Linked DNA regions of Yarrowia lipolytica. The protein of the gene in region 2 binds, or shares a complex with, the protein of the main gene of each other region. Links are inferred from orthologs where the notes say so. Each region holds a gene or a part of one and is shown on either strand. Other genes may lie near its edges.

The links.
Region 1: YALI1_F32512g (region 2) and YALI1_E10712g share a complex: the UniProt entries of both Saccharomyces cerevisiae proteins name them as parts of the RPD3C(L) complex. The link is inferred for Yarrowia lipolytica from reciprocal best matches to the Saccharomyces cerevisiae genes CTI6 and PHO23.

Annotation. Positions count from the first base shown.
Region 1 is NC_090774.1:1,070,069-1,074,413, forward strand, and holds YALI1_E10712g (uncharacterized protein), read right to left. Parts: upstream 2,263-4,345; coding exon 1,175-2,262; intron 1,132-1,174; coding exon 864-1,131; downstream 1-863. Other genes in the region: YALI1_E10755g (uncharacterized protein), read right to left, coding at 3,182-4,345. UniProt on the Saccharomyces cerevisiae protein: Component of the RPD3C(L) histone deacetylase complex (HDAC) responsible for the deacetylation of lysine residues on the N-terminal part of the core histones (H2A, H2B, H3 and H4).
Region 2 is NC_090775.1:3,248,918-3,253,473, forward strand, and holds YALI1_F32512g (uncharacterized protein), read left to right. Parts: upstream 1-2,294; coding exon 2,295-3,860; downstream 3,861-4,556. Other genes in the region: YALI1_F32476g (uncharacterized protein), read left to right, coding at 1-529; YALI1_F32498g (uncharacterized protein), read left to right, coding at 934-2,070. UniProt on the Saccharomyces cerevisiae protein: Component of the RPD3C(L) histone deacetylase complex (HDAC). Responsible for the deacetylation of lysine residues on the N-terminal part of the core histones (H2A, H2B, H3 and H4).

The sequences.
Region 1 (4,345 bases), on a different chromosome or scaffold from region 2:
CTCTTATGTTCATTGCTGACAACCGAGAGATTCGAACTCTCGCCTCCGAAGAGACCAGGATATTGATTCAGTCACCTGAACCTGGCGCCTTAGACCACTCGGCCAGGTTGCCGCACGTGAACTGGTTGCGCTTGGAGCTATTGAGGGTGTCAAATATCGCAATGTGTAGCAATTATATATATAAAAAAGGGGAAAAAATCACAAAATAGATGCTTTTCTTGCCGAAACAATCACATCCAGATATGATGGAGTCTCTTCTATCACTCTTCCTCTTGTTGAACGTCCATTGACTAAGTTTCCGCTGAAATCACTTCTGGATGTACCACTGTTCTCGTCAAATTCGATAATGTGGAGTGTATTGTATTTTATTCACTATATTTGACAATTACTTATCTCAATGTTTTTTATACAACACGCTCATAATCCTCGTTCCTTTGGAAGTGGTACTGCAAGCAAATGGAGAGTGTTTAGATGTGAGAGGTCCGCTTTTAGTTAGCTTGAGGAAATACTCAACTATAATACTTGATATTCGCCGTATGTCTCAACTGTCTCGTATGTATTGTAAAAAAAATAAAAAAATGTTCCAGTATTTTGGAATTCAAACGCACCGCAAATAAATACCCAACTTGGACTCGTTCCTGTCTTGCTCAAATTGACCAATGTTTCTTGTGGTATGAGTACAAGTACCGGTATTAGAACTCACGTTCTTGAATTCCGCTGCTTGAATCTCTTTTTCGTGTAAACACAGTTCTTCAATGTGCGCCATCTCAAGTCTCAAGTCTCGACATCGCATCTCCTGTTGGCTACAGCCTCCTCCTACTAAAAATACAATAAACAGATACATTAAATACGTGTGACTGAAGTCACTCACGAGCCTTGCACACCGGTGTCGGGCCAAGCATTAATGGGCCGTAATAAATAACTGAGAGGATAGATGTTTGGAGATGCCCGGATGACTTGGAATCATATCTAGGGCTTCGAATCCTGGCTGGCTCGGTCTCGGCACTCAATTGGAGCTTAAGAAGTGGAGCAGCCCATCCAGGCATGGGCACGCACGCTGAATATCTGCTCTCATGACCACAAGATCCGAAAGCCGATGTTGAATCCACACCCACTAATAACAACGAACGACTTTCCGAGTCTGTCTCTCTACCTCTTTCTACCCTGTTTGCACTCATCACAGTACCAGTTACCCTTGGGGGGCGAGCTGAGGCCCAAACAAGGCAAATGGAACCACTCCCGGGTGCACTGGGGACCATCACAGGCCACCATTTCTCCGTAGGACACCTGTTCACAGTAACAGTAGACCGGTTCTCCGTCGTCCTCCTCTTCCTCCGCGGCCTTGGCAGACTCAGCAGCCTCCTGCCCCTTTCTCGATTTGTTAACCAAACGAGCAGATCTGGTAGCCGAAGCTGCGGGTGTGTCGTCTGACGATGGAGGCGATTTTCTGTTTCCAGGAGCAGGAGAAGCCTTGGCAGCAGTCTTCCGTTTCTTGGCTCCAGCAGCAGCGGCAGAAGAAGCCACGGTATCGGACACTGAAGCAGAGGTAGCGGTTCGTTTCTCGCCATTCTTTTTGGCTCCGGCTCCCACGGCAGCTGCGCCGTTAGTGGCTGCCGCCTTCTTGCCGCCAGTCTCCTTTCCACTGTCCTTGCCTCCCTCCTTGCTGGGAGTGCCTCTTCGTCCTCCATTACCGCTTTTCTCGGCGGCAGCAGCAGCGGCAGCCTTCTTCGCAGCAATGGCTTCCCGCCGCGACTCGCTTCGCTGGCTCTGTGCGCTTCGCTCGGCCACAGAGGGCTTGACATCCACAATGATGGCAGGATGGTCAGGCTCTCCGTACTGAATCACCTGGGGGATCTCACGTGAAGTGATTAGCTCATAATCGGCATCAATACGCGAAATGTGTCGTGCCACCGCTTCGGCCGCCACCCCAGCCACGTGCATTTTCTCCTCCAAACAGGGCATGAGCTCTCGAATCAAACCCCGAATCTCCAGCAGCATGTTTTCCCGTTCTTCCGTTTTCTTCGCGCACTCGGGGTCGTCCTTGGCCGCCGGTGGAATAGCCAGAAACTTGGCTATCAGATCCGCCACAAGAGGAGTAGTCGTGGTACATTTCGCGTCGATTTCTCGCAGAAGAGTGAAATGCCGCACAGTCTCGAGCGGTAAGGCTTCCAGAGCATCAGTGAGGTCGTTGAGACCAGGATACAGACCTACGGGCTTGTCTTGGGCTCGGCGCGACGACGATCGAGTGTTGTATCCTTTCATGACGTGTGGTGTGTACAAGTTATGATGTCGGAGAAAGTGACCTGCATGAACATGCATGAGGTAGGGTAAACGAATTTCGGTGGGAGGAAATATTTTTAAAGTTAGCCAATATTGCTGAGGTTAACTAAATGACTATTTTTGTTGACCTTTATACTTGAGACGTAATTACTCAGTATAGGTACTGTACGAGATTTATGGGATATCATCGATGCAAGGCAGTCGGTAAAGCAGCTCGAATTTGATAATAGTTGATCATTATACGGATTTGCAGTAGTAGCATGGCAACAAAGTCAATAGGGAGAAATACTACTTGTAAATACATACGAAAATGAACGTCATTCCCTACGGCAGTTGCCTTGCCGTGTAGTCATTACAGTATGTCTCGACCTTCATTCCAGAACCCGAGAGCTCCATGAGAAGAACCCTGTGAGACTCGTACTACCACAACAGTACTATACTTGTACTTGTACGAGTGTGTGAGCAACAACAAGTAATCAATATCAATGAGCATACCAATGGCTACTAGTACTTGCACCCAAACGTCGCGTCTACCTACACCTACCAGTATGTATACAAGTCATTCAGCTATAAATGTCTAAGAAATACAGCTATTTTGGGGCTGACATTTGGCAAGCAGCCCGGCGGAGGGCTCTTCCATGGCGAGTCAGAAAACATTGTCTCCCTCTCCTCGTCGTCTACACGACGGACTCAGCAGCTGGCAAGGCAGCTCGATCAGTTTCAGTATGGACCTGCTTTCGTGGTCAGATCCACGCACCACGTTGGTATGTGGCAAGCGGCCCAACGAGAAGCGTAACACCACCCACTGGACCACACACCACCAACTAAGCCTGTGAAGTTTTCATCACTGGCAGAACAACCTGAGAAACCAACTATCGGATCCTGAGGTTGCGCTGGAGGTCTAAACTCTCTGGTAGATCAGCAGGTATGCGGTCTTGTCGTCCTTGCCATCCTCTTCCTTGGCGTACCAATTTTCGTTTCGAATGGCCTCGATCTTCACATCATCGATTCGGTACCACTTGGTACCGCCCACGAGCACGTTAACAGTGTAGTGACCGGTGGTAGTGCTGGTTCCGTGGTGGAAAACAACACCCACGAGGTTGTACTGGTTGGACTTGCCTCCCGAGGCTCGGAACTGCTGCTTAGCCTTGAGAGACAGCGACTCCATGGGGACAGACAGGTCCGCGCCGTACGAAATCTTCTTGTTGATCTTTCGCACCTGCAGATCCATCAGGTCATCACCGCAATACGTGAACCGCTTGAGCTGCACCACAAGGATTCGGGGTAGTTCTTCCAGTAACGTCTGCTTGCTAGCACCCGTGATGGGTCTTCCACCCTCTCCGAACGTCTCCACCTGCTCTTTGGCAGACAGAGCCTTGAAACCGGACTCCACGGAAGTAATGTTGGGATTCTCCACATCTAGATGGATAACATGGAAGGGCTCCAGCACCTTGGAGACGGACTGACGGGGCACATCGAGGTTGGATTCAAACTTGCCGCCGAAAATGTCTGACACGGGCGACCAGGGGAACTGAGGCGATCGGGTCGTCGAGTTCTTCTTGGCTCCCACCTGTGTCCATTCAGCGCTGCCGGTAGCACCCTCCTCTTTAGCAGCAGCCTCCTCCCTGGCTCCAATCACAGCTACGAACTCCTCATGCAGGCCGTCAAGCAGGTATCCAAGGAACTCCTCAGCATCCTCCTGCTTGCCTCGCTGGAAATGGCTGAACCGGGGCACGCTGACAATGCTCTTGTAAAAGGAGTCAATGGTGATATCGGGCAGCTTGGAAGTGGCAGGAGTGGATCCACCGTTTACTCCGTTAACGGCGCCTCGCTTGTAGTCGTCAAGGAAATCAACCACAGCCTCAGTCAGAGGAGAATCGCCGTCAAGAGACCGGGGCACCTTTTCTCGAATCAAATCAATCAGTCGAGAAAAGGGTAGACAGTGGACGAGAATCTGCAGAATAGAGTTCATGAAACACACGTTGCCGTTGTTAACAATACCTCGAGGTCGAGCAGTCAACAAGCTGTGGTGGTTGGTAGAAGTGGAAGAATCAAAGAGTTCAGA
Region 2 (4,556 bases):
CTCCCGACGAGGTCTTCTTGTCAACGAGTACCTTGTTGTTGAGGGTACCGAGGGCATCTGGGCTCTTGGTGACTGTTCTGCCACCAAGTACGCACCCACTGCCCAGGTTGCCTCCCAGGAGGGATCCTACCTTGCTAACCTGCTCAACGGCATTGCTAAGACCGAGGACCTCAACAACGAGATCACCAACCTCGAGAAGCAGTCGGAGCACACCTTTGACGAGCAGGAGCGAAAGAACATCTTTGCTCAACTCGAGTCCAAGTCCCGAAAGCTGCGACGATCCAGAGCCATGCTGCCCTTCGAGTACTCTCACCAGGGTTCTCTGGCCTACATTGGTTCCGACCGAGCCGTTGCCGACCTGTCCTTCAACTTCTGGGGTATCATGAACTGGTCTTCCGGAGGAACCATGACCTACTACTTCTGGCGATCCGCCTACGTGTCCATGTGCTTCTCCATGCGAAACAAGATTCTTGTTTGCATTGATTGGATGAAGGTCCGAGTCTTCGGCCGTGATATCTCTCGAGAATAAGCGCATAAACCTATACAATAAATTTTAGATTGACAGTACAACTGAGGGCTGTAATGAGTAAGAGTGGTATCACTTGGTTGTATTTGACGGAACAGTTGTATACAATTATAAAGAGTTGCAGCTTCTCCATCTGCAGTATTGCTGTAAGCATGTTTGTGGAAGGTTTCATACTGAACAGAATCCCTCGTATAAGTGAACCCCAAAGCCAATGTTTTAGAGGCATTGAGACATAAGACTGCATGTTTCTTTTTGCTCATTTCACTTCTATATTTCTTTTTTGTGTCTGCCACTTCTGTATAATTCATTTCAATCAACACAATAGAGTTCCATAAGGCGTGTGGTGCATATTGTCAACTGTGGATACCTGTTCGTACAATACGTGAACATACTAACACACACCACAAATGATCACGAAAAGGCTACTGCGGTTCCTGCTGGGGCCTAGTTTTGCCACCAATGAGAATACAGAAACAGAATCTCTTGCTCTCAACCACGAATTGCTCAACGCCAAACACAAGATTCTCAACAGCTATGGACGGTCTTCCCTGGAGGCCGAGAAGATTGTACCTCCTCCTACTTCAGCCGCTGATCTGGACGCTCTGCTTGATCCTGCCGAATCAAACGACTATGTCGACAAGTGGATGCGAGCCTGGGAACTCGGTATTATCCCTGAGGGGATTGTTAGAGGTATAGAGATGATGGGCATGTGGCCCCTGGAGGTATCTTGGGCTAGATACCACACAATTGGCAGATCCGGAGGACAAACATACTGGCAACTACTGAAGGGAACTATCCACAGCGGCAATCCGTTCCCCGGATTCATGGCTTCCCTGGCGCAGAGTATGGTGGAGGAAGCTATCTCAGACCAACCGGACGCAGGCTCGTATACGTGGGAGAACGGGACCATGGTCAAAAGCGAACACAAAATCAACATCATAAGCGTGCTCAAGGGCAACCACACAATGGCTGAAATCATCCCCTTTGCCCTGAAACACTTCACGGCCTGCATCATGTCATTCCCCTTCTTCTACTACTCCTCCATGCAGATTTTGGGGGTGTACAACAACGTCGACACCCCCAACAACTCGCCCTGGGGCCCGTCTATTGCCTGGCTGCAGAATTTCTACAACCCCTGGACTCCAGCTCTACCCAATGTCGGAGTCATGGCCGTCTGGCATGTATCCAACTACTTTCTTGGTCTGGTGGGTCGAACGCATCTGGCTGAAATCAACAAGTCTCACGGACAAATGGGACCCGAAGTGGCCCATCATATGCCTCCATTTGCGGTTTTATATGAGAACTTCCTTCGATCATCCTTCATCATGAGATGCATGACTTCCAATCTGTTTGGTTTCTTCTTTTTCCGGTTTGCTGTCGGCAAATCTTTTGGGGATGACCTGCAGATTGATTTCCCAGATCTCTGCGGCGCTATTGCTGTTGATACCGTGGTTAGATGTGGTATCAACCACTTGTACATTCTGTCCACCTGGATTATTGAGAGATCTGTTTACGGGGCTGACACAGAGGAGGAGGAGACGTAAATGTACATAGGTCTACATCGCTACATAGTTGCATTATTTATTTGGTATTCAAGAAAGAGAGACATTTTTTTCCCCTTTGAACTGGTGTGCTCGTTTGTTGCATTTGTACATCAGGAAACGCGTTTCCCTTCGTCATTCCACATTTTAAAACATCACACTCTTATCCTTAATGACCATCCTAAACGGTACATGTTGCTTAATAATCAAACCCTAATAACAAGAATATGCATGGCTGGACTCCCCGGCCAAATTCGTCCAGTACACATCTTTTACACCAGCAACAACCAAACACAATGTCCGCTCGACGCTCGAGACGCAATTTTGATGACGACACGGTGGAAGCGTCCAGTGACAGCGAAGGCAAAAAGCGCAAGTCACGGGCCGCCGACAAAGCAGCAGCCGTACCTGAAGAGGATGAGGAGGTCGAGGACTCGGATGGACTGGTGGAGTCCGAGGAGGTTACACGGTGCATTTGTGGCCACGAAGAGTTGCATCTGGACCGGGCTGCCAAGGCTCTGGAAATTGATCAGGGTCTGTTTATCCAGTGTGATTCTTGCTCTGTGTGGCAGCATGGCTACTGTGTGGGCATGTACCAGGAGTCTGAAGTTCCCGATGTCTATTACTGTGAGAAATGCCGACCCGACCTCCATCAGATTTTCCTACGGCCAAGCGGCCAGACGTCCATCTACAACAAGTCTGCCGACGACGATGAAGACGAAGAAAACGAGGATGGCAACGATGAAGGCAATGGTAGCCGGGCTTCGGTCAAAGAAGAAGAGCTCCTCCCGCCAAAGCGTCAGCGCAGCAGCCGAGCGTCTTCTTCGACAGCCTCAGACAGCGGCACTGGTGCAACACGCGAGTCTGCCCGCGACCCTCCCCGAAGCAATGGAGAGGAGCCTGCAGCTGCTAGTGGCCCCAGACAACAGTCCGGGTCCACCCCCGAGCAGGGAGGAAAGCGAGGTACGGGTAGAAGTCGACGTCCCGATTCTGCTGCTTCTGCCGCTGGCTCTGCTGATGATGGCTCTGAAGACATCTCTGACGCAACTGGCGAGGCAGGCCGTGACTCAACTCGCAGCAGACGCAATTCGAGCTCTCGTCGTGAGATAACCACCTCGTCGCGACGTCGCAACAGAGACACATATGAGGAGACTCTCAAGCGGGTGCTTCAGGAGAGCGCCCGCGAAGCAGGCAAGGACAAGGAGGTCAAAGAGGAAACCACAACGAGCAAGAACTCTACGACCAACAACAATAACGCCACAGCCAACAACAGCAGCAGTAGCAAAAAGTCATCGCCTGAGACTACTGGCACTGCTTCTGGAGCAGCAGCTGCAACAAATGGAACAACCAACGGGTCAGCAGCAGCCTCGGGAACGTCGGAAACGCCGAAGCGGAAACGCGAACAGGAACTCCAGGCAAAGTCGGATATGGACGGCAGCGACTCGATGGACTCGCCTGTGGCCAAGGCCCGGAAAAAGCGCAAGACAAAGACGTCGGTGGGTGCTGGAGGAGCAGCCAACTCGCCGAAGCCGAAGGAGACACCCGAATACAATGACGAGCGGCCATCCAAGCCACGGGTACCTCATTCACGAACTACAATGAGCGAGATGCGACGACGGGTAGCTGCGATACTGGAATTTATTGGCCGCACACAGATGGACATGGCCAGTGACCAGAACAAGATTGGAGATCAGGTGGTGCTTAGCTCCACCTCTGCAGATATGATGGATGGACTAACTCGCAAGCTGCTTCTGTGGGAACAGGAGTACGGTAGATATGGCGAGCGAAGGTGATTAACAGAATATACTTAATTTATTGTATCATTATTATTTAAAGGTATTTTGCCGTCGGAATAGCCGCTCCGCAAAAACCGTTGCACGTTGTGTGAGAGGAAACCTATTACAGGTAACAATTGGGGATGTGTCTCAATTTTGGGTATTGCGATAAGCTAATTGTAGCGGTTACTACCTGATCTACAATGTAGCTTAGTGTCGGTTATCGATCTCTATATTCGTATATTAGATGCCAAGAACAAGAAGAATAATGTATGAAGTAGACATGTCATTTCGCTTAGGTGGTGCTGTGAGCCTTTGCGGGGGCCACTACAAATAATAGGGAAGTTTTGTATGCGTCTGCCATGTGCATTGCTCCGCTACTATTCACTTCAACATTCGACGCGTTTCTACAGTCATGGATGTGAGAGTGGCTGGGTTTATATTACGAAAAGGCTCCAATATGTTGAAACATTTAGTACAAGTACCTGTAGCTTGTTTTCTACTTCTCCCCATTTCTCCATCCCTCCAAGAACACTCCACATCAAGCAATTAGCCGTTGGGAAAGCCGAAAGTACAAGTAAGGTAAGTTGACTTGAACTACAGGTACAGTATTAGCTGCCTCTAGGCTCTCTTATTTCTCCACCCAAACGCGCACACCATCGTTCATACCGACTTTGACAAACGTCATTGTTCTTACACATACACATACAACAT